Macaca fascicularis: one gene and its partners. The protein of the gene in region 3 binds, or shares a complex with, the protein of the main gene of each other region. Links are inferred from orthologs where the notes say so. Each region holds a gene or a part of one and is shown on either strand. Other genes may lie near its edges. The genes, in order: CC2D2A, TMEM216, TMEM237, B9D1, TMEM17, TMEM67 and AHI1.

Region 1 (3,936 bases), on a different chromosome or scaffold from region 3:
AAAGTACACAAGAGTTCTCTAATAAACAACTCCGGTCATTGCAAACTGAAAGAAAACCAAAACAAACAAACAAAAAATCTGTGAAATATTTTAGTAACTAAAAAAAGTTCTCTATAAGTTAAAAAACGCTTTATATGAAATAAAAAATAGAAGTAGAAAATGAAAAATGTAATGGGATTTTCTTTTCTCCTCATTCTTTCCTGATCATTTCCTTTAAATGAGTTTCTAAGGAAATCAAATGACAACGAAATTTACTTTTTATATGAACACTGTTGCTAAGAAAACATAAATCAGTACTGCATGGTTTTAATATGCAGCTTGCCATCATCTTATGCATTGGTACTTGTTAATATATTCCTACTGACAACATCAAAATAACTATGATTTACTGCACACTTATTTTGTGCTAACTCTAGACATATGTTCTCTTTAGTCCTCACAATAACATATCTGGCTTAGCAGTATGTGCCCCAATTTGTGTATGAATAAACTGAGGCTCTGACAGTTTGCATGATTTGCCCAAGGTTATAATTATTAAATGTCACATCCAGAACTTGACCCCAAGACTCTGATTCCCAAGTCCTCCCTCACTCCACTCTACCCCTTTGTCTCACCATTTATTCTTACTTTTGTAATGGCATCAATAATTATTCTATGCTTTCCAGAATAGCCCACTATTCTGGAAATATTTACAGTTGAAAGCTGTGAAGCACTGGTGAGAAAAGGCTTAGGCTACATTAAGTCAATTATTTATTTTACTCAGTGCAGAAAACCAAACATTTTTTTCAAGGAAAGTACTGACACCTTCATCTGAATAAATGGTCTATTCTTAAGAGTCATCAGTGGATCAGAGCCATACCTGTAGGTTGAGATACAATGCATCTCAACTCCATATTGGTTGCTTAAAAAATCATGCAATATATATGCCCTACTCCAGGATGGCAAAAACATGGGTTTATAGGAAGAGTGGCCCACGTATTTCTTTGCCAAGGAATATGTGGACCTGAGTTCCAACTTCAGCTTTTTTTATTAGCTGTGTGATCTTGGAACAATGTCCTCCCTTCTCTGAGACACATTTTTTTTTTTTTTTGTCTGCAACATTGCAATCATACTTCCTACCTTGAAGGATGATTAATTTATAAGGGCTAAATGATGAAATGTGTGTAGCAAAATGCCTAGCACAGACTGGGCTCTTAATATTGGTAGGTTTTGTTAATAAGAAAAAGTGATTGTGGGGAGGGAAAGTGGAAAAAAGGAATGAGGAGGGAAAAGAGCTTGGGGGATAGAAGAGGAGTCATGAAAAAGACCTTAGGTGATTTTCAAGCCCACCCACCTTTGGCTCCAATCTTCAACCCCCAGCTTCCATAACTCATGTTCCATCTCTCGTTGCCTTCAGCCAGGCCCAGGGCAGTTGCCTTGCTGTTTCCATGTATGGTGCTTCTGCAACCTCCTGCACTTCTACCCAGGAGTATTTTCTTCCTCACACCGTGAGAATATTTTTCTGTTCCATCCTGGAGCTTGGACACCTGGGGAGGTGCCACATACATTCTTTTGGAATACATTGTCTTATTCTATAAGTTATTCCAGCTGCAGTTTCCCTTAGCATAAGGTTAGTGACAAATAGCTTTATAGAATCATTGAATCAGCTCAATATAATATACATTGGCTTTGAAGAGTACATATGGGGACCATATTTGAGCTGTGTTATATGATATATGGCCAGTGCATTTACACAATGTGGTAAGTGCTGGAAGCCCCTCCCTGGATGTCATCCCACTGTGCTTTCAGTGTTTTATAAATCTCTTATGGCACTTAGCTCATTGTACTCTTATCATGTGTTTATAGGTCTATTTTCCCAGCAAACTCTGAGCTTCTGACCTGGTCTAATTTATGTTTGCACCCTCTAAACTTAAGTTCATTGCCTGGTGCATTGTTGATGCTCCATAAATGTTTGAATGAATGACTCTATAAGTGGGCTCTAGGAGATATATATATTTGTGTATATATAAATATATACAGAGAGAGAGAGACAGAGAGAGAGAGAGAGAGAGATTTCATGCTGGCACTGAATTTATTTGCAGAAAAGGTTATATGAAAATGCAATAGCAAACATATATCTTATTCGACTTTATTAGCTTTTCATAGCACCTCTTTGCAATGAGGGGAAACAAACAGTCAGCTTAAGTTGTAGCCAGTAGATTTTCTTGAAGTCTTTGGACAGCACAGCAACTCTCAGCACTGTGGTTAGTAGCCCTTTCTCTGTCTAATACCAAGAAAAGTGTATTTCGCAGTAACTAGTGCTTCTCACCTTAAGCCAGTTTGAACTAAAAGGCCCGTAAGTGCAACATGCAGCTAATGGTTCACAGAGCTTTTCACTCAGGGCTTGTGATGAACTGGACTTACATTTCCTGCAAACCAGATACCAGATAGCAGCTCAAATCAAAGCTGCCAAGTAATGGTCTATGTTCCCATTTCAGAAAGTAAAAACATAAATAATGATGAGAGCCCCTAAATTTACAATTCATTAAATCCAGTCTCATGGTATCCGGGAGAGACTGAATTTCAAGCCGGGTAACTGAAAACAGGAAATCATTGTTGCAGCCCAAAGTCCGGTTAGGGACTGATTTACCTTAAGAAACTTTACAAAAGGCACTTTGCAGATTCTGCTTTCTAGGATGGAAGTGGAGAGAGATGGTGCTGTAGAATCTTTTAAAAGGGTCCGGAGGGAAAGGCTGAGTGTTGGAGATGCCCCTGGGCTCCTCCCTGGGAAGCTGCAGCCATGTCTTGGAGCAAAAACACCAGCTTAGCAACCCGTTCCTAAGGAAGGTCACTCGGTGGCTTTTTTTTTCTTTTAAAGTGACAGGTTACTTCCAGTAGTGGAGTACAAGCATGCTGGGTAAGCAGAGACGCACAGCCTGCTGGAGAAGGACTGAGAGAAATCAACATGGGCAGCACTGCAAATTAGATTAAGCCTTAAGAGCCGCCCCTCCCTCATGTCATCTGGTCGTCTTGCATTTCCAGTGAAGAACAGGCTCAGAGGTGGGGCGATTTAGAATCTTAAAAGATCATCATTACATGGTGAAGCTGTCTAACGTGGCAGCAGCAAAAGCTCTGTGGAGGTCCTGCAGGGTACCAGCAAATGTTGCGCTCAAGTGTTTTCCAGTTAAAAGTGGAAGGTTGAATGCACAAGTTTAATTTTTGCCTATTCTCTGAATCCCACTGCAATTCCTAAAAACGGATATAAATGTTATGGCTCAAAACAGTTGAAAAGAAAAAAAAAAAAGAGAGAGAGAGGAAAGAGGCAAAGTAGCTGGAAGAGTAATAGAATGAATGGAGCCAAGGAAACCACACTCCAAATAGACTAGTGTGTATGTGCACATGTGTTTGTGTGTATCTGTATCTGTGTGTATTTTGTGTGTACGTTTGTGTGTATGTGTATTGATTGTATTCTTGATGCTCTGGCATTTGGAGCCTTGATCCTGGAGAAACTGATTCTCCTAGGTTAGCTAATTTCTAGAGATAGCAAATGATTCCCCTGAAATATGCAAAGTCTTATATACAAGCCAGCCAATCCAGAGCCCACACAACCAACCATCTCCATTTTCAAACTCTCACACACTAAGCCAATATTCCTCCTGTCCCAAGTCACCCCAGGTCCAGATACCAGACCACTATAGCCCAGAGAACACCACGATTATTCAAGCTATCTAGTCCTAAATTTACTCAGCACCCTACCCTGTGTCACCTATTCCTTCCTGGGAAAACCCTAGTAAAGGCTCTGCTCTGTACTCTGCTGTCTCCCTTCTGCCTTCTGACCAACACTGGTTCTTCCCTATGTGGTCCTGTGTGGCATTCCATGTTCTATGATTTGTATGTGTCTCCCCAAAAGCATGTATTGGAAACTTAATCCCTAATACAATGTTGTGGGGAGGCGGG
Region 2 (4,199 bases), on a different chromosome or scaffold from region 3:
TAGTGAGCTGAGATCCGGCCACTGCACTCCAGCCTGGGCGACAGAGCAAGACTCCGTCTCAAAAAAAAAAAAAAAAAAAAAAAAAAAAACCATTTATTTCAGGGATGACATATTCTAACAAATAAGGGTTTTGCTCTGTTATTTCTGGGATTATAAAACTTGTCCTACAGGGCAAGCATGTTGGCTCACGCCTGTAATCCCAGCACCTTGGGGAGGCCAAGGCGGGAGGATTGCTTGAGGCCAGGAGTTTCAGACCAGCCTGGGCAATGAGGCAAGACACTGTCTCTACAAAAAACACAAAATGAGCCAGGCATGATGTCGCATGCCTGTGGTCCCAGCTACTCAGGAGGCTGAAGTTGGAGGACTGCTTGAGCCCAGGGCTTCAAGGCTGCTGTGCGTTATGATCGTACCACTGTACTCCAGCCTACGTGACAGAATGAGATCCTGTCTCAAATAAGTAAATGTTTAAAAAACAAAATCCGGTCAGGTGTGATGGCTCACACCTATAATCCCAGCACTTTGGGAGGCCAAGACAGGTAGATCATGAGGTCAGGAGATCGAGACTATCATAGCCAACATGGTGAAACTCCATCTCTACTAAAAATACAAAAACTTGCCAGGCATGGTGGTGGGCGCCTGCAGTCCCAGCTACTCAAGAGTCTGAGACAGGAGAATCGCTTGAACCCGGGAGGCGGAGGTTGCAGTGAGCCGAGATCGTGCCACTGCACTCCAGCCTGGCAGACACAGTGAGACTCTGTCTCCAAAAAAAAACCAAAAATCCGGCCAGGTGCAGTGGTAATCCCACCACTTTGGGAGGCTAAGGCAGGCGGATGACAAGGTCAAGGGATGGAGACCATCCTGGCCAATATGGTGAAACCCCGTCTCTACTAAAAATACAAAAATTAGCTGGGAGCAGTGGTGAACGCCTGTAGTCCCACCTACTCGGCAGGCTGAGGCAGAAGAATCGCTTGATCCCGGGAGGCAGAGGTTGCAGTGATCCGAGATCGTGCCACTGCACTCCAGCCTGGCGATAGAGAGAGACTCCATCTCAAAAAAAAAAAAAAAAAAAAAAAATCCTACAGAGATCCTTATTCAGAGTATTGTTAGGGATCTTAGTACTGATCTGTGCAGGATACGCTGCCTGCCCTGACATGGAGTTACAACTGAACCTGCTCCCCCAAGAATACTAGTGAGAAGAACCAGGCACTCCTTTTGCTGTTAGGCAGCTGGGAAGGAATCATCTAATATCCCATTCTATTGCCCATCTCTAGCCTTACAGAGCAACAAACAGGTAAATCCTGACCCAATGTATGAAGCAGCAACTTGAAACTTCAGAGAGGGAGTAATGGGATATACAGATCCAGTCTCTGATAGTCAACCTAGGTGATGTACTTTTCTTGTTAATCAAGTTAGAGATACCAGCTTGTCTCATAAAGAGTGGAAATATTCTCTGGACAACACTCACCAAAAAACAGGCGAATTACTTCAATTCCAAGATAAAGGAGGAGCATCACCACATCCAGTACTAGGTTAGCTGTTGGATATGGTAGCAGAACACCTGCGAATACAAAAGCCAGAGTTTGCAAATAGCATAAAACAGCATCCACAAGAACTGCCACACACTTGAGACATCAGTCTCAAGGACATCAGTCTCAGCTTTCCATGAGCTAGTTAGTGAAATGTGGGCATTATTACAGCTGCAGGATACATAAACTCACAGTGCAACCCAGGCTCATTATTATGCCATTTTACTCCTAACTCCAAAAGACTCTGGGGACTCCTCTCTCCAGAATGAGTGGATGCACATGGGTACACGGGCCACTGAATAGTTTCTAAGGGTCATCAATGGGCTTACAGTGGAGCTCAGCAAAGACCAGTGATGTGGGCAGAGTCAGAATGGAGAAGCCCACATTTCCCAAACTCAAGAAATTCTTGCTGAGGGGATGCCATACTCATACTCAAAGAAGCCATCTGATGAGGAGGCCTGCCTTGCAGCGACAAAGAACCGCAGGGGGCAGAAAAGAGCGGAAAATAAGAAGGTTCTTGGTCGGAGTTGGCTCTGAGCTGAAGTGGGGAAGGGGTGCTGTCGTCAAGCCCCATGCCTTCCTTACCTTTATACAGAAATATGAAAAGTTCCAGCAAGAAATAGGTAGCATTATACCACGCGTTCAGAAAGAACAGGATTTCCAGCGGGGTGGAGGACAACCGTTTACCTGAAACAGCAGCACAGAAAAGTGGGATGGGCAGGAAGGCAGCTCCCTCTCTGCTCCTATGGGTTGGTGTCTAACTGGGGAAACCAGACGCCGCAACTAATGGGACCGGCCACCCAGGGGCACTTCTGGTTGCTGATAATGAGGGTACGGGGTGGATGTGGAGGAGGCTTCCCTCGTTTCCCAGGAATCACCGCGAAACTCGACTCTTCGGCTTCAGGAGTAAAAGTTAAGAGGTAACTCGCAGCTGACAGACATCTCAAAGATCTCACCCTGTCACTATTTGGGAGGGGAAGTTGGGGCGTGGAGACCAACAGATTCGTACCTGAGCCATCCTAGAAGTGGCCCAGCCAAGGATCTGCGGCTATTTGAGCCACGCACCTTGAAACCTTCAGGGACCCAGGGTGGGCGGGTCCGCGGAAGCCCGCTTTGGACCAGGGAGGCGCGATGTCCCTAACGCTACAGAATGGAGGGTTTAGGTCAAGCTCTGGGACAGAGGTGCGAGGGAGGGATCAAAGGGAAAGGGACCAGCGACTCACACACCTCCGGAATCTCACCTCGCGGCGCCATCTTCAGTCCCCGTGGAAACTGCGTAAGCTGCCACAGTTGCTCCCGGAGCAGCGCGGCGCTGCCGGAAACAGGGACTGAGCGGCCGGGGTTTCCGGCCCCTCTGCCCGCCCGCGGCACTCTGTGGTCACCCGGAGCGGGACGAGCTCGGGCCAGGCCGCAAGTGGCCCTCGCTCGGATGTCCCCTCTCCAGACCTAAGGGAAAACAGTGACCGCCCACGACGCCGTCGTCTGCAGGAGCTCGGGGTTGTGGGGTAGGACCCTGGAGGCCCTTGGGCTACCGGGCGTTGGGCGGAAGTGGCCAGTTGTGACAATGTTACCAGGAGACTGGCAAATAGGTCCTACTCCCACGATTCCCATTTTTCGACGGAAGACGAGAAACGGTGTGAGCGACGGATCTCTGCAAATGCGGGATGGGAGTTAGCATTGGTCTTTTCTGCGGCCTATTTACCTACCAGGTAGAGACACTAGGGAAATAGAGCATCCTTTCCAGGAGCACACGTAAATAAACTGAAACGAGTCACCACGCGATCCCTAAAGCGGTGCAGTGGGAGCTGAGAGGACAAAGTGCTCCCAGGTGGAAATCTAAGTCAGTTTCCAAGAGACGGCCTGTGAGCTGGGCTTCAAAGCCTGCCTGATTCGGGTTTGCAGCGGTAAGAGCGTGTTGCTGGCCGGGCTTAGTGGCTCACGCCTGTAGTCCCAGCACTTTGGGAGGCCGATGCGATGGATCACCTGAGGTCAGGAGTTCGAAACCAGCCTGGCCAACATGGCGAAACCCCGTCTCTACTAAAAATACAAAAATTAGCCAGACGTAGCGGCGCGCGCCAGTAGTTCCAGCTACTTGGGAGGCTGAGGTAGGAGAATCGCTCGAACCCAGGAGGCGGAGGTTGCAGTGAGCCGAGATTGTGCCACCACACTCCAGCCTGGGCGACAGTGAGACTCTGTCTCAAAACAAACAAAAAAACAAACAAAAACGTGTTGCTGCAGGCAGGGAAGTGCAAAAAGAAGGGTTTTGAGAGTACTCAGGTTGACTTGACTTGGCTGTTAGCCCGTTGTCAATCAGGGTAAAGCCGGAAACAGATGGCACGCTCCAACCAGGTAACCTGAGGAAGGTGACTAGGCTTTATTTTATTTATTTAATTTTATTTTTGAGACGGAGTTTTGCTCTTGTCACCCAGGCTGGAGTGCAATGGCGCTATCTCTGGTCACTGCAAGCTCCACCTCCTGGGTTCAAGTGATTCTCCAGTCTCAGCCTCCCAAATAGCTGAGATTACAGGTGCCCCCCACCACACCCAGCTAATATTTTTTTGTATTTTTAGTAGGGACGGGGTTTCACCATCTTGGCCAGGCTGGTCTCAAACTCCTAACCTCAGGTGACCCGCCCCCCCTCGGCCTCCCAAAGTGCGGGATTACAGGCGGGAG
Region 3 (3,939 bases):
TCAATTTTAACTGCTATTCTTATAATTCAAGGATTTTTCACCTTTAAAATTTCAGAAAATCCCTAAATTTTTCAGAAGAGTTTCCAGAATCATTGTAATTTTGCAATGATACTAGTTAATTTTTCTACTGTCTTCGTTTTCCATTTTTAAAGCTCAATAATGAAATTACTGTAAATTATGTTTACCTTGGCACAGGTGGAAGGGCTCGTGGAGGACGCTGTGGGGGAAAAAAAGAAATTTGCTTGTAAGTAAAAGCCTAGAGCATCTTTACTTCATGTATCCCAAACACCATAAAGCTATTCTTTTTTTCCTTTTTTTTTTTTTTTTTTTGAGACAGAGTATTGCTCTGTGGCCCAGGCTAGAGTGCAATGGCACGATCTTGGCTCACTGCAACCTCCATCTACTGGGTTCAAGCAATTCTCCTGCCTCAGCCTCCCAAGCAGCTGGGATTACAGGCACCCACCATCATGCCCGGCTAAGTTTTGGTTTTTTAGCAGAGATGGGTTTTGCGATGTTGGCCAGGCTGGTCTTGAACTCCTGACCTCAGGTAATCCGCCCACCTTGGCCTCCCAAAGTGGTGGGATTACAAGAGTGAACCACTATGCCCGGTGAAACCACTTCTTTCAAAAGTCTGTTGTTCAGACATGACAGAAAAATATAATGGATCGGACCAGGATCTTCAAATCTTTTGATAATCTTGTTCATTAGTGAAACCTGGGAGGTACTGATGAGAAACATGGGCAATTTAAAATTTGTTCTCCCATTCTAAATTTCATATAAAATTATTTCCTTCCTACATTCCTTTCTATCTCTAGGCCAGGCCCTTTTCTAAGCATTAGGAGTACACTAATGAACAAAACGGAGAGAACTCTGCTTTTATGGAACTTACATTCTAGTGGTTATTAGAAACAAGGTTAAATATATATAATATATACTATATATTATATGCAGCATGTGTAACATATATATGCTATATTTAAGACATATATCTTGTATACATACCTTGTGTATATATACACAAACACAAACACACAAAACGTAATGAATGAAGGAGACTGAGTGCTACTTTTGTTAGGGAAAGTTTCTCTGAGATATTTGAGCTGAGACCTGAATGAGAAAGGAGCAACCGGAACAAATGCAAAGATTTTTAGGTTAAATTGGGCCTGGAATATTTCAGGTAAAAGGACAGCAAGGCTGCCGCACAATTGCCAAGGAGGTAGGCAGGAGCCAGATTTAGTTAGGGCCTTGCAGACCAAGGCAAGGAGTTTGGATTTTGTTTTAATTCAATGGGAAACCAATGGAAGTTTTAAACCACATACTAACACAAATTTTTAAAAGGCCACTTGAATATACTGGGAAGAATGCGTTTTAGGGCAGAAAGAATGGTGGGGGGAACCCTTCTAAACGCTCATTTATATGAATAAGAAAAGTGTTTGCAGTCAGAGAGCATTACAGTTGAGAAGTATTTTCAGAATTAGATACTAAGAGAAATGCCTAGAAGCCAATTTAATGTTCCAAGTATCTCATGCTGCTTGCATAAGACATTTATTCAAAAGGGTTAAATTTTAGACATTTTTGTAGTTTGTCCCATTTAGCAATCCATTCGTTCGAACAGTAGATTAACGCAAGTACTACAAGATTAGGACGAGGCAAGCTCCCGTAATACCATCCAGTAGTCAAAATCACAACTGGAAAAGAATGACAATCACGGGAACGCGCTTGTTCTACAGATGCTACGAAACGCGCGCGATCGATCCAAGGACTCAGTTCACGTAACTGATTTCAAAAGTCCCGCAAAAATGACATTCCACCCACCCAGAGACCCAACCTCTACTCCTCAAAAGTAGGACGGCTCAACTGAAGACAAAAATCCTAACAACTAAAAGTAGCTAAGGCTCGCTTACCACAGGATTCTTCCCCATTCTGTGTTTAGCCGGCCTCGGCAGCCGCCGGCCCGCAAGCACAGGGCGCCCCACCCCTCCCGGCTCTGTCGCGCGCGCAGGCGCAATGCGTCATCGGGCAGCGCCGCCGGGTGGGTAAGTTGGGGTGAGAGACGCGCAGGGACCTGGATTGGCCAGTCCAGACTAGCCCTGCCAAAAAAGGGGCCTCTGAGTTGGGGTAATGTGCCCAGGAGCAGAGATTCGGCGACCGTGGCGCTGCAATCGCAGCTTTCCCGTGGTTTCCTAAGTGGTCGCGGTGATTTGTTTGCGGGGAGCGAGGCGTGAGGGAAGACCTTGGTTAAAGGACTCCGCAGGCAAACAACGATCTTTTCTAGGCAGCTACTGCCCTCTCGGAGGGGGAGTCTATGAGAGGCCTGGCTGGAAGCCCCAGCACCCGCCGGGCGCTGGGCCTCAGAGAAGTGAGGCGTCGTCGTGGCAACGCGGGCTCAGGTACCCGCAAACTTCATGCCAGGCCTCTCTCCCCTACTCCAGGAGTTCGGTCCCGGCCTCGCCTGGGTCTCCGTCCCACTCCTGTGAATGCTGGAGGGGCGGACGCGCGCACCCCATGAGCAAGGCTCTCCCTTAGTGATCCCCAGCTCGTTAGCGCCCCCCCCCCCACACACACACCCCCACCCCGCCAAGTGTAGCTTTTACCCGCCACCCCTCGAGGCCGACGCGCCCCTCGCCGCTCACCAGGTGGCCCTCCTCCAGCCGAGCCCCCGAGTCAGCCCTCATGGTGCTCTCCCCGCGGGGCTTCCCCGGCGCAACCGCCGGCGGCCCGAGCCCAGCTCCCCGCGACGCTGCAGCCTGCGGGACGCCGGGGCTTCGTGGCGCCTGGCGTGGCCGCCTCCCCGTGAGCCAGGTCCCCGCCCGCCTCTGCCCTGCCAAGCATTGCTGGGTTTGGGACGAATGTGTTTACTCTCTAGGACCAACGAGTCTGTGCGGGCCTGGGTGTGTGGATGTGTATTAATATAGGCAATTCTCACATTTTCTCCGATTGCTTACCCTTCATCCCACAACTGTGTAAATCAAATTTGGAAAAACTTTTTCTTGAAGAACCTTAAAATCAAATCCGACCTCACATAAATATCATTACAAACTACTTAATTTGCATAGTTTTATTTGGTTAGGTTTTTTTTTTTTTTAAGATAACTTTCACTTTAAGTAACAGAACTACAAATATTTTGAATCATGCATTCTATTTTACAGTTAAGAAAGAGATGGGAAAGATGGAAGAATGATGTGGATATGGAGAAGAGAATGATGCAGAAGATGAACAGATACAGGGACAGGGAAAGCGCCTGGAAATCTCAAATCTGGGGGAAGAAAGAGAAACAGGACTTTGTAATGGCATCCTAATCTTGTTACCAAACAAACGGGGTTTGTTGCCCTATATGCACAGAAGCCAATATTATGATGCTGGTTTTTTGAGAAAAGTTGTTATTGCGAGTCAACTAACAAGGAGACAGGAGTATAGCTCTAATCTGTCTCCCTGTGCTGGCTTTAAGACAGTATTTTTATTAGAAAAGGTTTAGGGAATGGATTCTGGGATTAGTAAATGATTGGTGGAAGGAAAGAAGCCATCTGGAAAATCTTTTGGCGTTCGCGGTTACCTCTTCATGTCCCTTCATGGGTCGCATGTGCAAATTTTGGAGGGAGTCAGTATGAAACATGGGGGAAGACTCGAGCTGTAATGCCAGCAAGCTCATTTTGTACAGACTTCAGGTAGCCATCCGTGTTAGTCCTAACCAATTTCAGCCAGTTTGCTTTATTTTGTTTTTTAATCTCACAATAGAAGAAGTTTAGGCGTTTTAGCAAATTGTTTTTTATCTGCTGTCCTGCACGCTCAAGAATTTCTGTTAGTCCCTGGTTTAACTCTGAGACACGGTTTCAGTCTTGTGATTCTTCTATATATAGGTCTCCTGGACTAATCCATTGCCTTTTCTAATTTAGGCATGCATGTAGATATTGGCTGTAAGGAAAATTCGTGTTTGTCACA
Region 4 (3,500 bases), on a different chromosome or scaffold from region 3:
GAGGTTGAAATCATCAGGGGCCGAGCTGAAAGCCCTGTGAGGCTGCTCTGCTTCTATCTCTCCCTTATTCCTAGGGCAGCTCTTTGAGGTCTTAACCCAGTTTGGAGAGATTTATCTGAGGCCCTCCTCCCAACCCCTTGGAAGGCTCTGAACATCAGTTTTTCTTGTGTCCTGGGCCCAGGGAGGCTGTCAAAAGTCTTGATCAGTCTCTCAATCACCTCTATTGAAATCAGCAAACACTCCCAGAGGAGACAGGATTGGGGTAACCTCTCTGGATTTCTGTTCTCCTGGATCTTGCCTGGTAAATCTCTTCTACTTTGCTAGCTCTCTGATGCCTTTGAGGTAGTTGCTTTTTGTTTTTGCTTTTGTGTATTTCATTTACCTCTCCTACCTGTCCTCGGCAGGAGAAGACTGGTCCAGTACCTACAGTACCTATTGCACTGTTCTAGGAAGTCGATTGCAGCTTCCTGCTCATGGATGATGACAGCAGGATGGAATTCCCTGCTCAGGAGGACCACTAGGCATTTTCTGCTCCAGACCCTCTACACTGTGGTGAGCCTAGGCCCAGGCCACGTGCAGTAGAAAGGCCTAGACTGTGAAATCAGATGGGCCTGAATTAAAATCTACACTTGGCCACTAGATGGAAAGCAGAAGGCAAATGATGTCATTTTTGAGTGTCAGTTTCCTCATATGGGAAAAGAAATGGAGAGAAATCTCTCCAGCGGGTATGATTGGGAAGCTCGGATGAGTCCACACAGTGAAAGTATTCATAGTCCCCATGGAGACTAAGCCCAGGCTTTGTGCACAGTAGGCACTTATGAAGTGCAAGTGAACGATCAGAATGGTTAATAACCACCAGCCAAGGTAGAAAGTAAGCAATGCCAGCCAGGAAGCCCTTGGGAAAGAGGTTAGATACAGGACGCGGGAACGGTATCCAGACAGATGGATCAGCGTGAATAAAGCTCAGATGAAGGAACTTGAGGGACTAGCACAGAAGCAGCAAGTGCCAGGGTCTGGCCGGAACACAACACACCATGGGAAGTCAGCAGGCACAGAGTCAGGCCTCCAGGCCAGACAGCCGCAGCCCTGCATGCCAGGGTGGGGAGCCTGCCTTTTACAGGCGTGGCCACTAGGCCTGATGCACTCTGAACTTACAGAAGGCCAGCTGCACAGCCCGTAGCAGATGAAGGGGGTGAGCGGGAATGAGGAAGAATAGGAGGCAAAGGGACAGATGGCGAGAGAGAACGTTGAGGGCTGCTTCAGGAGCCCAGGTGACAATCTGAATGTGAACAGTCAAGGGCTGGATGAGGCAGAGGCTGTCTTGGGGGTGCTGTGTGAAAGCTCTGCCACCCTACCCCGCAGGGCCCCTGCAGACTCACAGCCGTAGGGGTTGGTGCTTTTAAAGGTGACATCAATGGGGAAGTTCCACACCAGTGCTTGCCGCACATCTTGGCTCTTGGACGTGATCTGTGAGATCCCCTCCTCCAGACCCTGTGGGGACAGTGACAGAGACGGCTGGATTCAGAGCAGAGCCAAGCTGCTGCGGCTCCTCCCCTTATCTTCAGCAGGCAGTTGGGAGGGCTGTTTCCTAAGCTATCTTCTCCCGGTACACTAACTTCCAAACAAAGGGGGCTAAGAGATGATGGAGTACCTCTTAAGCCTGTTCTATGACAATGCCGTAGCATGACAACCCCGGGAGGCCAGCCACTCTCCTGGGCCCAAGGGCACTAGATCTGTTCCCAAGCTCTTGCCCCCCTGAAGGAAATGGTCCAGCAGTGCTTGCACTCTCCTGCATCCCCACCCTCACCCGAGTATCCCCATCGGTAAATATAGATGTATTTTCTCCATCAAAAACAGTCCTTTTTCAATTCCGCTGCTTCTTCCACCCACCAATCCATTCTCTGCTCCCTTTATAGCAAAACTGCTTCAAAGAGCTGCCACAATTACCGGCTCCAATTCCTCCCCTGCTATTCTTTTGTGACCCCACTCCAATGTGACTGCTGGCTCCAGCACGCTACCAAAGGGTCTTCTCCAATAACGCCTGTGACCAACAGTGCTAGATCCAATGGTCCTTTCTCTGTCCTCGTGTTACTTGACTCATCGGCGGCACCTGGTGCAGCTGCTTACTCCTTGATACACTGTCTTCCCTTGGCTTCTGGGTCTCTCCACCGCACAGGGTGCCCCCTGCTCTGTGGCTCTTGCTGGTTCCTTCTCAGTGTTGCCGTCCTAAGGCTGCATCTTTGGCCAGCTTGTCTACCTGTACTTGGTGATCTCATCTGTCCCATGGCTTTCAATGTGTTCTAGATGTCGATGATTCCCAAATTCAGGTCTCCAGCCTGGTCCTCGCCTCTGCACTCTGGATCAGCACCTCCTCTTGGATATCCAGTGGGTGCCTCAACCTTAACCCACACCAGGCTGAGCTCCAGGTAGCTCTCCCCAATCTGTTCTTCTCACTGAAAGGCAGCTGCCCACTTCTAAGTGCTCAGGCTAAAAGCCCTGCTGTGAATCCTAACTGCTCCTTCTCTCAGACCTCACATCTATCAGAAGAAGCCAGCGGCTCTATCTTCAGAGTATACTTGCAGTCCAGCCCCTCCCGCCACCCCACTGCTGCTGCCCTACTCTCCCATCTCCACTGCTCTCAGAGCCAACTGGGTTGCCCGCTCTTGCCCTTTCCCCGAGTCTATTCTTGTCGTAGAAGCCAGGGAATCTTCTAAAAATATAAGTCAGATCACTTTCTTCTCTGCTGAAAGCTCTCCAATGGGATCCCATCTCCCTCTGAGTAAAGGTCACAGTCCTTACTCTGACCTTCTAAGTTCTACAAGACCTGCCCAGGTGCCCCTCTGCTCCAGCTCCAGCCACTCTCCTGCTGGCTTGCTCTCCAGTGGCCACACAGCCTCCTTTCTGGTCCTCAAACATGCCTGGCAAGCTCCTGCCCCAGGGCCTTTGCACTCTCTGCTCTTTCTGCCTGGACAGTTCTTACGGGTTTCCACATGGCTTGTTCCCTCACCTCCTTCAGGTCTTTACTCGAAAGTTACTTTCTCGGCAAGGCCCTCCCTGGCAGCCTTAGCAAGATCGCAGCCTCCCTCTCATCACTCATCCCTGTCACTTCCTGGCTTGGTCTCCCTTTGGCACTTCTGGCTTACTAACATCCTAGAATATGCACTCCTTATTATCTGACCCCCAGCAAGAACATGCACTCCGGGAAGGCAGGGGCTTCCGGTTTGGCTTTGCTCACCCCTGCATCCCCGGCACCCAGAAGACAATCAGTGAAGGGAAAAGATGGATTATCATCTCAGTTGTACAAACAAGGAAACTGAAGCTCAGAGGGCTTAAATAAGTTCAGCCTCCTTTTCTTTTCTTTTTTTTTTTTGAGGCAGAGTCTCACTCTGTCGTCCAGGCTGGAGTGCAGTGGCGCGATCTCCACTCACTGCAAGCTCCGCCTCCTGGGTTTACGCTATTCTCCTGCCTCAGCCTCCCGAGTAGCTGGGACTACAGGCGCC
Region 5 (4,200 bases), on a different chromosome or scaffold from region 3:
ACAGATCACGGGCTTCAGAGTTCAAGCAAACCCAAGCTCCCCAAACCTCTGTGACCCTGGATGTCAGACTTTATATAAATTATTTAAGTTCTTTGAGCTTCTATTTCTTCATCTGTAAAATAGTGAAATTAAAACTTCCTTACAGGCTGCTTGTGAGAATTAGAGCCAATATGAATTATTTCTTCCTAGCACTGTGCTGGGCACACTTAGTAGGCACTCAACAAATATTAGTCCCCTTTCCTTCTTCTCTTCTATTTATCTACTTATCTGCAAGCACACACCATGTCCCACCCTAATTTGAGACCCTCATAGAATCTAGCATCTTGCTTTATATGCAGTGAATATCAAATACACATAAGAATGAATTAATGTAAGCATACTGTCATAAGGACATTACTAGTATAGCCATTTGTGATACATGAGTTCCATTTACCTAAGGTTGATTCCATAACACTTTTTGCTTTTATGTAAGACAGAAGGGTCCTAAATTAAGAATTTGATTTTTAAAATTGAACCCTACAAAATACATCCTAAATTTGACTAAATTCTTAAGAGCGGACACATATATTGAAATCAGTTGTTCTACACGTAAGATTTTAAAGGTCCTAAAATAAATGTCTTAAGAACATTATTTCTCCTTTTCTCCATAGTTGAGTGTTTTTATCTGTCATTTAATAATTTTAAAATATAAGAAACAGTCATGGTCTCTCGCAGCAAAATAGTTTCTTTTAGCTCCAAAAATATGCCTGATTATTATGATCTACTTTTGCTTGCAACTGCTTATTAAATTACCACTGATAAATGAATGAATTCTTAAAATCTGTTAAATCTGAAGACAACTCACCAGCCTAGGATCTTTCTGATAGCAACAGCACAATGCTGTGGACATGGTAATTACATAAATTTGTTATTACAGTACAAATAATCAAACCTACTTCTGATCCACAAAGAACAAAATACGGGAAAGAATAATAAATTGGGCAAGCAGAACATTTCAGTACCTTTGAGAAGAAACTGTAGTCAAATTTTGCAAAGAACGGTTTTTATGTTAGAAGTATTGTGTGTTAACATCTTAAAGGTTATGCTATGTCCATATTTCAGCAGATCAAACTTATAATCATGGAAATGAAAATCAAATTAATATGTAAATGAACCTTAAAAGCATAAGATATACATTTACTGAATTTTGCAAAAGTTCAAGTTGAGTTCTATAAATGGAATTTAAATTAAAACATACAATATAAATCAGGGATAGGTAAACAACTGGTCAGCTGCCTAAACGTTTTTGTACAGTCAATGAGCTAAAAATGTTTTTTCACCTTTAAATGGTTAAAAAAGTAATATTTTTTTCATACGTGAAATCCATACGAAATACAAATTTCAATATCCTTAAAGTTTTATTGGAACACAGCCATGCCTATTCAATAACTATTGTCAGTGGCTGCCGTGGAGACCATATGGCCTACAAAGCCTAAAGTACTTACTATCTGGCCCTTTTCAGAAAACGTCTTTTTACCTTGTATTATCAGACGTTAGTGCTCATTAAGCCTCATCCTTGGAACCAGAAACGTGAAACCTAATTTTTTCACATTTTTCTCTGTACATCCTAAATCATAAAGGCCTACATTTGGGGAATAGGCAAGTGATCAAGACGACAAAATGCAGCTTTGGGGACTGCCTTTACTTTTCTGTCCCTTTTAAAAATTCTGTAAAACCAAGCAGTGGAAAAGATTTATATTTCCCAGCAGACTTGAATGATGGAAACCACACGGGTTTGGTTGACAGTGTGTTGTCTACCATCATGATGTAGGAGGAGGAACCTGTTCTGGAGGAAACTGTGTTATCACTTGTCATCAAGTTGAAGGATGCAGAGGCATTATGGTATTTTCTTACCTTATGGTAAGAGTTACATATAGGGGAGGAGGAGGAGAAGGCAGGGAAGGGGTGAGTTTTGTTGAACGTCCGGCTAGTATGGCACATGCCAGTTGGGAGTGGATGGTGGTTTGAAAGGACTCTTAAAAAAAAAATTTTTTCCCCCTAATCTTTTCTGCCAGAAAATGGCCTTGCTTAGGAACATACTTGTTCTGCTAGGAAAAGGGAAAAGGCAAATTTGCTCCCTGGGCGGCGGGTGGGGACAGGGGAGGTGGGGATTGCTTGGGCTGTTCCTCGCCATCCTGGACAGAAAAGCCGGGGCGGGCGCCGCAGAGGAAAAGCAAGTTGGGCCTTCGCTCTCGCGGTGCGCGGGGGACTAGCCTGTGCAGCAAGGGCGGCTTTTATCTTTTTATTTTTGGGGTTTCCCAGGAGCCATGATGGGCCTTGCGTGGCACAGAGGTCGGCCCCACCTCAGCTGCCGGGCTTGCACGGAGCAGGCCAGGCGTTAGCGCGTGCAGACCAGGCCCAGCCCGCGGCCGGAGGCCGCCAGCGCCTCAGCTCCCCGCCCCGGCCGGCCCCTCCTCCAAGGCTCTGGCCCGCACTGCGGGAAACTGACTGAAGGCGACATCGCCATTTTAGGTACGGGCAAATTCTGGACGCTCCAAAACCCACGCCAAGCCCTCAGCAGGCCACACCCCCTGCGCCGGCCTCGGTCACTCACCGGGACCCTCACTGTACTCCGGACCGGTCCGATTGGAATCAGTGAACACAGCCCGGCTGAAGTTTCCCAGCCGCTGGCGCACCGGATCCGGCAGCTCCATGCCTGGGCCTCGGTATCCCTCGCCCCCTCAGATACAGGCTAGTCTGCGGGCGTTCCGAGGCTCCGTGGTTCTCATGGCAACCGGCCGGCGCGAGGCCGGCGAGATCCGGGAGCGCGCGGGGGTGCCCGGCTGGGCCGGGTCTCGTCGGGAGCCCGCGCAACCTTGAAGGGACCGGCGTACTCAGAGCGCGTTCCAGGCCCCGGGAGCTGCGTGCCTCGGCCGTGTCCAAAACGGCAGATCTCTTAGTTCTGCTTTGAGCCCGACCATCCTAAAAACAAACCTATACTAAGAAATGAGCTGGGGTTGGACTGCGATACAAGGAGCCCTCATATCTTGCCAGTGAAACTGTAAATCGGTACAACCTTTCTGGAGGGAAATAGAGAATGAATGCAGAGCTTAAAGAATGTCTAGAGGTGTAGGGGTATGTGTGAGAGAGAGATACTATGACTGATTATTTTTTAATAAGAAAATAGAGCAATGGGCAACTGATTAAATGTACTGGAGCATATGCATTCAATGGAGTATGTTTCAGCTGCTTATAAAATGCTTGCAAAGAATATTGAATGATATAGTTTATGTAAAAATAAAGCAGAAATAAAACTAAATGAGAATAAACCTAATTTAGCAAAATTTATGTGTATGAGTGGAGGGGAGGAGAGAGCATGTGCACACCGACTTCAAAAAAAACTGGAAAAAAATATTAACAGTTATCACTGGATAGTGGGATTGTAGGTGATTCAAAAATTTTTAAACACTTCTGTATTTTCTAGCTTTCTCTCTAAGATATATTACTTAATATATCAGCACCCTGTTCAAGAAACGTTACAATATTCCCAGAAACTCCCCCTTCCTATTTCCTTTCAGTCACTAAACCCCCTCCTCACTCATAACTGACCTTTCCTGAATTCTAACAGCAAAGGAGAGTTTTGCCTTTTTTTTTTTTTTTAAATCGGAACATTTATTGTGTGACTAATCCAAATATATATATATTTTTTATTCGAGACAGAGTCTTGCTCTGTCGCCCAGGCTGGAGTGCAATGGCACAATCTCGGCTCACTGCAACCTCCGCCTCCCGGGTTCAAGCGATTCTTCTGCCTCAGCCTACCGAGTAGCTGGGATTACAGGCGCCCGCCACCACACTCGGTTAATTATTGTGTTTTTAGTAGAGACAGGGTTTCGCCACGTTTGCCAGGCTGGTCTTGAACTCCTGCTGCAACAGCTGTCCTCTTGGGTTTAGGTGGTGTTCCTTCAGAAAAGCCATGCCTTAACCTGCTGTACACAATTTTTAGGTGCCTCATTCGACCAGTCTCGTTGGTATTTTGTTTTTTAGCCTCGGCACTCCAATTATACTTTGTCTTGGCTTGGGAGCCGAGCCACATTTGCCACAGGCAAACTTTTCAAGGAGGTAGATCTTAGAGTCACAAGGCAGCACTAGCTGTGCATCTTATTGCACCACTTTCTAGATGTGACACTCCCTTTGTCATCTTGCTTCTCAGTTTTGCATATT
Region 6 (3,500 bases), on a different chromosome or scaffold from region 3:
TCTAGATAAAAATAATTATTATCCAGTATCTTAACTACAAAGTATTTATTACACAATATTTAGTTAGTTCATTTGGCATTCTTCTCAATATGACTAAGGGTCAAATATAACCTTATTGTCATACACACTGACAGGAATACAAATTTAATTCAAAGGATAAAACTTTCATTAGTAAACTACCAATGAGTGAAACCAACAACTAGTATTTCATGAGTATTTGACATGTGCCAGGCACTGTACTAAACATTTTTATACTTTAAAACAGTATATTACAAAATGTCTTCTAAAGGGCATAAGTTCTTTGAAAAAATAATCTATGTTTAAATACATTTGGTCCATCCATTACACTCACCTCCATGCTTCCCACCCTTGTAGAATAAAGGCTCTGAGAAGTTTTACAGTAAAAGGTACTACATGATTATACTGAATCCAATATTTTCCAAACTAACTTGACTATAAAACTTTTTCATGTAACATCTTTTAAAGCTGAGGAAACTCCTAAACACACACACACACACACACACACACACACACACACACACACACAACTTCAAAAAGAAAAGAAGTATGTGAGGTAACAGATAAACTAGCTTGATTTAGCCATTCCACAATGAATACATATATCAAAACACTGTATTGTAAACTATAAACATATATAAATTTTATCTGTTCATTTAAGAAAAACCAAAATACTACTTCAAGTGAATTTTGGAAGTATTGCTCATATTATTTAAAGGCTCTAAGGATACAAACAGTCTTCTACCAGTTTTACAAAAATAAAGGAAGGGAAAGGGGAAAGAGAATGGAAAGAAAGAAGAAAAAAGAAGGAAGACAGACAGACCTAAGAGTTAATGATTTATATTCAATCTTAATTAAGCAGATAATTCCTGAGAAAACCTATTCCCATATAAACGGTTTCCATGTTCAGTCTTACACTTAGTACTGAATACTTTCTTTAATAATTTCAACTAAATCCATGAAATAACTGCAAATGTATAATAAATATGTTGCATCTTGTTCATTTTAGCCCCAGCTCTTAGCACAGAACATAGTCTATAGTAAGTTTTCAATAAAAATTAGTTGAAAAATATCAAACTTATAATAGTGATTCTAATGCAGGGGAGAATACGGATCAGGGAGTAGGGAGCTTTTTCAAAATATAGATACCTGGGGTTACCTCAAAGCTACTAAATCAAACATAGTCTCTAAGGGTGAGCCCGAGCATAGGTATTTTACAAAAGATCCCCGAGGGCTTCTGATACAAACTATTGGTTTTAAAGCCACTCCTTACACCTAGAGCAGTCAAACACACAGAGACAGGAAGTATTATAGAATGGTGGTTGCCAGGGGTTAGGTGTAGCAGGGAATGGGTACAGGGTTGTTTAAGGGGTATGGAGTTTCAGTTTTGCAAGATGAAGAGTTCTAGAGATGAATGGTGATGATGATTTTGCATGACAATGCGAATGTACTTAACACTATCTTTTTTTTTTTGAGATGGAGTTTCGCTCTTTTTGCCCAGGCTGGAATGCAATGGCGCGATCTTGGCTCACTGCAACCTCTGCCTCCCGGGTTCAAGCGCTTCTCCTGCCTCGGCCTCCCGAGCAGTTGGGATTATAGGCATGTGCCACCATGCCCAGCTAATTTTGTATTTTTTGGGAGAGACAGGGTTTCTCCATGGTGGCCAGGGTGGTCTCAAACTCCCGACCTCAGGTGATCCGCCTGCCTTGGCCTCCCAAAGTGAGGCGTGAGCCACTGCGCCTGGCTGACTTAACACTATTAAACTCTACACTCAAAAATGCTTAAGATGGTAAACTTAAAACAAAAAAATTGTGGTAAAATATATAACATAAAGTCACTCCTTTTTAATGGCTTCACAACAATATTTCAACCTTTAGAGAAATCTTCCACTGTCATGAAAACTTAGTTGGAATTATATTAGTTTAATATTTATAAGGTACATGTAAGTTGCATATAATCACATCAAAACAGTTTATACCTCCAAAAAGAAGAGGACAGTAAGTACTTGAAATAGTGAATTAATTTTTCTCACAGTCTGAATTTCATTCCATTCATTTGCTACAAAATATGTTCTCCATATGCTTACAGGAACAGTGGCACTTCGTACACCACCCTCACCTGGTCAGAAAAATAAAATGAGTAAAAGAATTCTACCTCCTTTGCTCTGCAAGGATAGCAAAAGAATTTTGGTACAAATGTATATTTCACTTACCTTCAACAGCTTTAAGAACCTTTCCTTTAGGTCGCTCCCAATCAATAAAGAATACATCTATTGTAATCTGCGATATGAGCTTATGCAAAAATTGTAGTGCCTGAGAATGACATATAATAAAACACCTGAAAGAGTACCAGCATTAAGCCTGCTTATAAAACCAATATTGACTCTTTAAGAAACATACTGTTATCACAAGAACATATACGTTTATAAGTGAATTCACATGAAGTTATAATACCACTAGGGGATCATTAGAAGCTCATCAGATAACCTGGAATCACCAAATTCACAGAATTTTCATATACATTTTACTTTACCTTCCCTTTTTATTTATTTCTTTAAAATAGGAATATGAAAAGAGGAGACATTTTTCCTCCTCACATAGGGACTTATATAATTGACTCTTTCCCAAAGATTCTAGAAGCACACCTCGTTTTGTAGATCAGTTGACTTCTTTATAAGTAAAGATATTTTCAACTATAGCTTGTTTTTCCTAAAGTTTTTGAATGCTCTGTCTGTTTTTTCTATTTCTGCTATTAAGATTTCTGATTTTTACAGAATGCGTTGTTGAAACACATCTTTCTCATTTATAGAAGCAATATGTTTAAACTGAGGCATTCTTTCTAGTTGCTGCATTATTGATCAAATAAAGGATAAAAATCTAAGTATGGGATACTTCACTTCGAGAAGCTCCCAGCCAGTGGAAAAAGGAGACACTTAATATTCACAGTACAATGGGATAAGGACTATCAAGAGGCATATAAAGAGCTTCACCTACATTGATAGAGAACACTGAGTTGAGGATGGGGGTCATAGGAAGAAAGGAGCAAAGGAATCTGGAGACAGACAAAACAGCTTTAAGATCTCAACACTTTATCCTTGATTAATGGAGACAAAATTCATGCCTGAAGACATTTTGTCCCATTGTGAATGTATCATCAGACTTTAAGGAAAGTTATATACTGAAATATCATTTTATCAAATAAGCCATACAAATTTATGGCTTCTTTGAAAAAAATATTTAAGGCAGATTTTCAGACTGAGCATCTACTACAAATAAAAGTAAATTTACTGCATAAAATAATTAATGCTTTCTTTCAAAACCAAAGTGAATTTCACACCAAAGATTTTTGAAAGCATTTTAATTTTAAAGACTTATTAGTTCATTAGCAGGCCTTTTAAATTTGGTAACCTGTCCTTTAAAACTTACCTTCAGAGCAAAGGCACATCCAACATAAGTGACAAAACGTTCTTCCTGAACTGGCAT
Region 7 (3,500 bases), on a different chromosome or scaffold from region 3:
TGATCAAGTGGGCTTCATCCCTGGGATGCAAGGCTGGTTCAACATTCGCAAATCAATAAACATAATCCAGCATATAAACAGAACCAAAGACAAGAACCACATGATTATCTCAATAGATGCAGAAAAGGCTTTTGACAAAATTCAACAGCCCTTCATGCTAAAAACGCTCAATAAATTTGGTATTGATGGAACGTACCTCAAAATAATAAGAGCTATTTATGACAAACCCACAGCCAATATCATACTGAATGGGCAAAAACTGGAAAAATTCCCTTTGAAAACTGGCACAAGACAGGGATGCCCTCTCTCACCACTCCTATTCAACATAGTGTTGGAAGTTCTGGCTAGGGCAATTAGGCAAGAGAAAGAAATCAAGGGTATTCAGTTAGGAAAAGAAGAAGTCAAATTGTCCCTGTTTGCAGATGACATGATTGTATATTTAGAAAACCCCATTGTCTCAGCCCAAAATCTCCTTAAGCTGATAAGCAACTTCAGCAAAGTCTCAGGATACAAAATTAATGTGCAAAAATCACAAGCATTCTTATACACCAGTAACAGACAAACAGAGAGCCAAATCAGGAATGAACTTCCATTCACAATTGCTTCAAAGAGAATAAAATACCTAGGAATCCAACTTACAAGGGATGTCAAGGACCTCTTCAAGGAGAACTACAAACCACTGCTCAGTGAAATAAAAGAGGACACAAACAAATGGAAGAACATACCATGCTCATGGATAGGAAGAATCAATATCGTGAAAATGGCCATACTGCCCAAGGTAATTTATAGATTCAATGCCATCCCCATCAAGCTACCAATGAGTTTCTTCACAGAATTGGAAAAAACTGCTTTAAAGTTCATATGGAACCAAAAAAGAGCCCGCATCTCCAAGGCAATCCTAAGTCAAAAGAACAAAGCTGGAGGCATCACGCTACCTGACTTCAAACTATACTACAAGGCTACAGTAACCAAAACAGCATAGTACTGGTACCAAAACAGAGATATAGACCAATGGAACAGAACAGAGTCCTCAGAAATAATACCACACATCTACAGCCATCTGATCTTTGACAAACCTGAGAGAAACAAGAAATGGGGAAAGGATTCCCTATTTAATAAATGGTGCTGGGAAAATTGGCTAGCCATAAGTAGAAAGCTGAAACTGGATCCTTTCCTTACTCCTTATACGAAAATTAATTCAAGATGGATTAGAGACTTAAATGTTAGACCTAATACCATAAAAATCCTAGAGGAAAACCTAGGTAGTACCATTCAGGACATAGGCATGGGCAAAGACTTCATGTCTAAAACACCAAAAGCAACGGCAGCAAAAGCCAAAATTGACAAATGGGATCTCATTAAACTAAAGAGCTTCTGCACAGCAAAAGAAACTACCATCAGAGTGAACAGGCAACCTACAGAATGGGAGAAAATTTTTGCAATCTACTCATGTGACAAAGGGCTAATATCCAGAACCTACAAAGAACTCAAACAAATTTACAAGAAAAAAACAAACAACCCCATCAAAAAGTGGGCAAAGGATATGAACAGACATTTCTCAAAAGAAGACATTCATACAGCCAACAGACACATGAAAAAATGCTCATCATCACTGGCCATCAGAGAAATGCAAATCAAAACCACAATGAGATACCATCTCACACCAGTTAGAATGGCGATCATTAAAAAGTCAGGAAACAACAGGTGCTGGAGAGGATGTGGAGAAATAGGAACACTTTTACACTGTTGGTGGGATTGTAAACTAATTCAACCATTATGGAAAACAGTATGGCGATTCCTCAAGGATCTAGAACTAGATGTACCATAAGACCCAGCCATCCCAGTACTGGGTATATACCCAAAGGATTATAAATTATGCTGCTATAAAGACACATGCACACGTATGTTTATTGCAGCACTATTCACAATAGCAAAGACTTGGAATCAACCCAAATATCCATCAGTGACATATTAGATTAAGAAAATGTGGCACATATACACCATGGAATACTATGCAGCCATCAAAAAGGATGAGTTTGTGTCCTTTGTAGGGACATGGATGCAGCTGGAAACCATCATTCTTAGCAAACTATCACAAGAACAGAAAACCAAGCACCGCATGTTCTCACTCATAGGTGGGAACTGAACAATGAGATCACTTGGACTCAGGAAGGGGAACATCACACACCGGGGCCTATCATGGGGAGGGGGGAGGGGGGAGGGATTGCATTGGGAGTTATACCTGATGTAAATGACGAGTTGATGGGTGCAGCACACCAACATGGCACAAGTATACATATGTAACAAACCTGCACGTTATGCACATGTACCCTACAACTTAAAGTATAATAATAATAAATAAATTAAAAAAAAAAAAAAAAAAGAAAGCAGATGTAAGTGAGTAGTTCAGGATAGAGACAAGGTTCTGGCTCAGCCTCTTACTAGTTCTGTACTTCAGTTTCCTCATCAGCAAGATAGGAAGAATATTACTTTTCCTCATAAGATTGTCATAAGAAATAAATGAGTTAATTCTCGTAAAGCACCTAGTACATAGTAAGGTGTTAGTAAAAGCTAGGTGTTCTTATCTTAGTGGCAATGTCTCCAAATAAAAGCCTAAGAATTTTCTTTGTTAAACCACAGATAATATTCAAACCCTGATAATAATAGAGTGTTTTTCTAAGAGGATATTTTACATTTATCAATGTAAAAATACCTTGTTTCAGCTTTAGAGAAGACTGGAACTTTCTTTTTCTTTTTCCTTTTTTCACTGATTGATTTGTCGTCATGGAATAAAGTATCTGCGGGAAAGTAAGTCAACTGTTCTTTCAGTTTTTTTCTTATTTTCTTCTTAATCTCCTTTGCCATTTCTTCAGTTACATGGCGCTGATATGCTTGCATCAGTTCTTCGTCCTCTTCTAAATCATTCTCTTCTCTTCCCTCATTTGCCTTCTCACTTTTCTGATGATCAATGCCTGGCTGTGGTTTTGTACGCGCTTTCTGGTGTGTAGAATCAACTTCCTTCTCAGGAGTTTCCAGTTTCATGTCTTGTGTAGTCAACTGGGGCACCGTCTTTACCACCTTTTTATTTGGCTTTCCTCGTTTGTCTTCCTCTACACTAACATCATCATTAGGATTTTCAGTTGCTGACTGTGTGTTCCTCGATTTGTTTTTAGCGACTCTCATGGTCTTCTTCAGGTTGTTAGTGTTAGTAGCACTTACATCATCACTTGTAGTTTCTTCAATATGGGGAAGATTGCTTCTAACAGTGTCAGGCTAGGAAAAGAAGACATGATAACAAAGTTTCAGTTATGCATAGATTAGTTATATAAAGAAAAACCTAATAATTAATGTTTGACAATGTGGAATTATTGGGAGGATTATTTAGTTTTTCACCTGGACACAGTGATACTATTTTAGAGCATTTGAGTACTCTCATAATTTATGCTTGCAGAATTTGATAAGCAATCTCTGAATGTAACTTCAGATGAAATGAGTTAACT

What was found.
Region 1: TMEM237 (region 3) and CC2D2A share a complex: the UniProt entries of both Homo sapiens proteins name them as parts of the tectonic-like complex. The link is inferred for Macaca fascicularis from reciprocal best matches to the Homo sapiens genes TMEM237 and CC2D2A.
Region 2: TMEM237 (region 3) and TMEM216 share a complex: the UniProt entries of both Homo sapiens proteins name them as parts of the tectonic-like complex. The link is inferred for Macaca fascicularis from reciprocal best matches to the Homo sapiens genes TMEM237 and TMEM216.
Region 4: TMEM237 (region 3) and B9D1 share a complex: the UniProt entries of both Homo sapiens proteins name them as parts of the tectonic-like complex. The link is inferred for Macaca fascicularis from reciprocal best matches to the Homo sapiens genes TMEM237 and B9D1.
Region 5: TMEM237 (region 3) and TMEM17 share a complex: the UniProt entries of both Homo sapiens proteins name them as parts of the tectonic-like complex. The link is inferred for Macaca fascicularis from reciprocal best matches to the Homo sapiens genes TMEM237 and TMEM17.
Region 6: TMEM237 (region 3) and TMEM67 share a complex: the UniProt entries of both Homo sapiens proteins name them as parts of the tectonic-like complex. The link is inferred for Macaca fascicularis from reciprocal best matches to the Homo sapiens genes TMEM237 and TMEM67.
Region 7: TMEM237 (region 3) and AHI1 share a complex: the UniProt entries of both Homo sapiens proteins name them as parts of the tectonic-like complex. The link is inferred for Macaca fascicularis from reciprocal best matches to the Homo sapiens genes TMEM237 and AHI1.

The regions. Positions count from the first base shown.
Region 1 is NC_088379.1:14,621,825-14,625,760, reverse strand, and holds the start of CC2D2A (coiled-coil and C2 domain-containing protein 2A), read right to left. Parts: upstream 2,801-3,936; 5' UTR 2,630-2,800; intron 1-2,629. UniProt on the Homo sapiens protein: Component of the tectonic-like complex, a complex localized at the transition zone of primary cilia and acting as a barrier that prevents diffusion of transmembrane proteins between the cilia and plasma membranes.
Region 2 is NC_088388.1:12,650,324-12,654,522, forward strand, and holds the start of TMEM216 (transmembrane protein 216), read right to left. Parts: upstream 2,801-4,199; 5' UTR 2,781-2,800; coding exon 2,768-2,780; exon of another isoform or gene 2,754-2,767; intron 2,214-2,753; coding exon 2,112-2,213; intron 1,559-2,111; coding exon 1,466-1,558; intron 1-1,465. UniProt on the Homo sapiens protein: Part of the tectonic-like complex which is required for tissue-specific ciliogenesis and may regulate ciliary membrane composition.
Region 3 is NC_088386.1:97,454,546-97,458,484, forward strand, and holds the start of TMEM237 (transmembrane protein 237), read right to left. Parts: upstream 2,801-3,939; 5' UTR 2,676-2,800; coding exon 2,634-2,675; intron 2,391-2,633; exon of another isoform or gene 2,012-2,390; intron 1,990-2,011; exon of another isoform or gene 1,923-1,989; coding exon of another isoform or gene 1,905-1,922; intron 218-1,904; coding exon 186-217; intron 1-185. UniProt on the Homo sapiens protein: Component of the transition zone in primary cilia. Required for ciliogenesis.
Region 4 is NC_088390.1:19,101,099-19,104,598, forward strand, and holds part of B9D1 (B9 domain-containing protein 1), read right to left. Parts: intron 1,492-3,500; coding exon 1,380-1,491; intron 1-1,379. UniProt on the Homo sapiens protein: Component of the tectonic-like complex, a complex localized at the transition zone of primary cilia and acting as a barrier that prevents diffusion of transmembrane proteins between the cilia and plasma membranes.
Region 5 is NC_088387.1:59,409,879-59,414,078, reverse strand, and holds the start of TMEM17 (transmembrane protein 17), read right to left. Parts: upstream 2,801-4,200; 5' UTR 2,694-2,800; coding exon 2,594-2,693; intron 1-2,593. UniProt on the Homo sapiens protein: Transmembrane component of the tectonic-like complex, a complex localized at the transition zone of primary cilia and acting as a barrier that prevents diffusion of transmembrane proteins between the cilia and plasma membranes.
Region 6 is NC_088382.1:103,447,012-103,450,511, reverse strand, and holds part of TMEM67 (meckelin), read right to left. Parts: coding exon 3,444-3,500; intron 2,331-3,443; coding exon 2,231-2,330; intron 2,137-2,230; coding exon 1,997-2,136; intron 1-1,996. UniProt on the Homo sapiens protein: Required for ciliary structure and function. Part of the tectonic-like complex which is required for tissue-specific ciliogenesis and may regulate ciliary membrane composition.
Region 7 is NC_088378.1:39,505,506-39,509,005, forward strand, and holds part of AHI1 (jouberin), read right to left. Parts: intron 3,274-3,500; coding exon 2,714-3,273; intron 1-2,713. UniProt on the Homo sapiens protein: Involved in vesicle trafficking and required for ciliogenesis, formation of primary non-motile cilium, and recruitment of RAB8A to the basal body of primary cilium.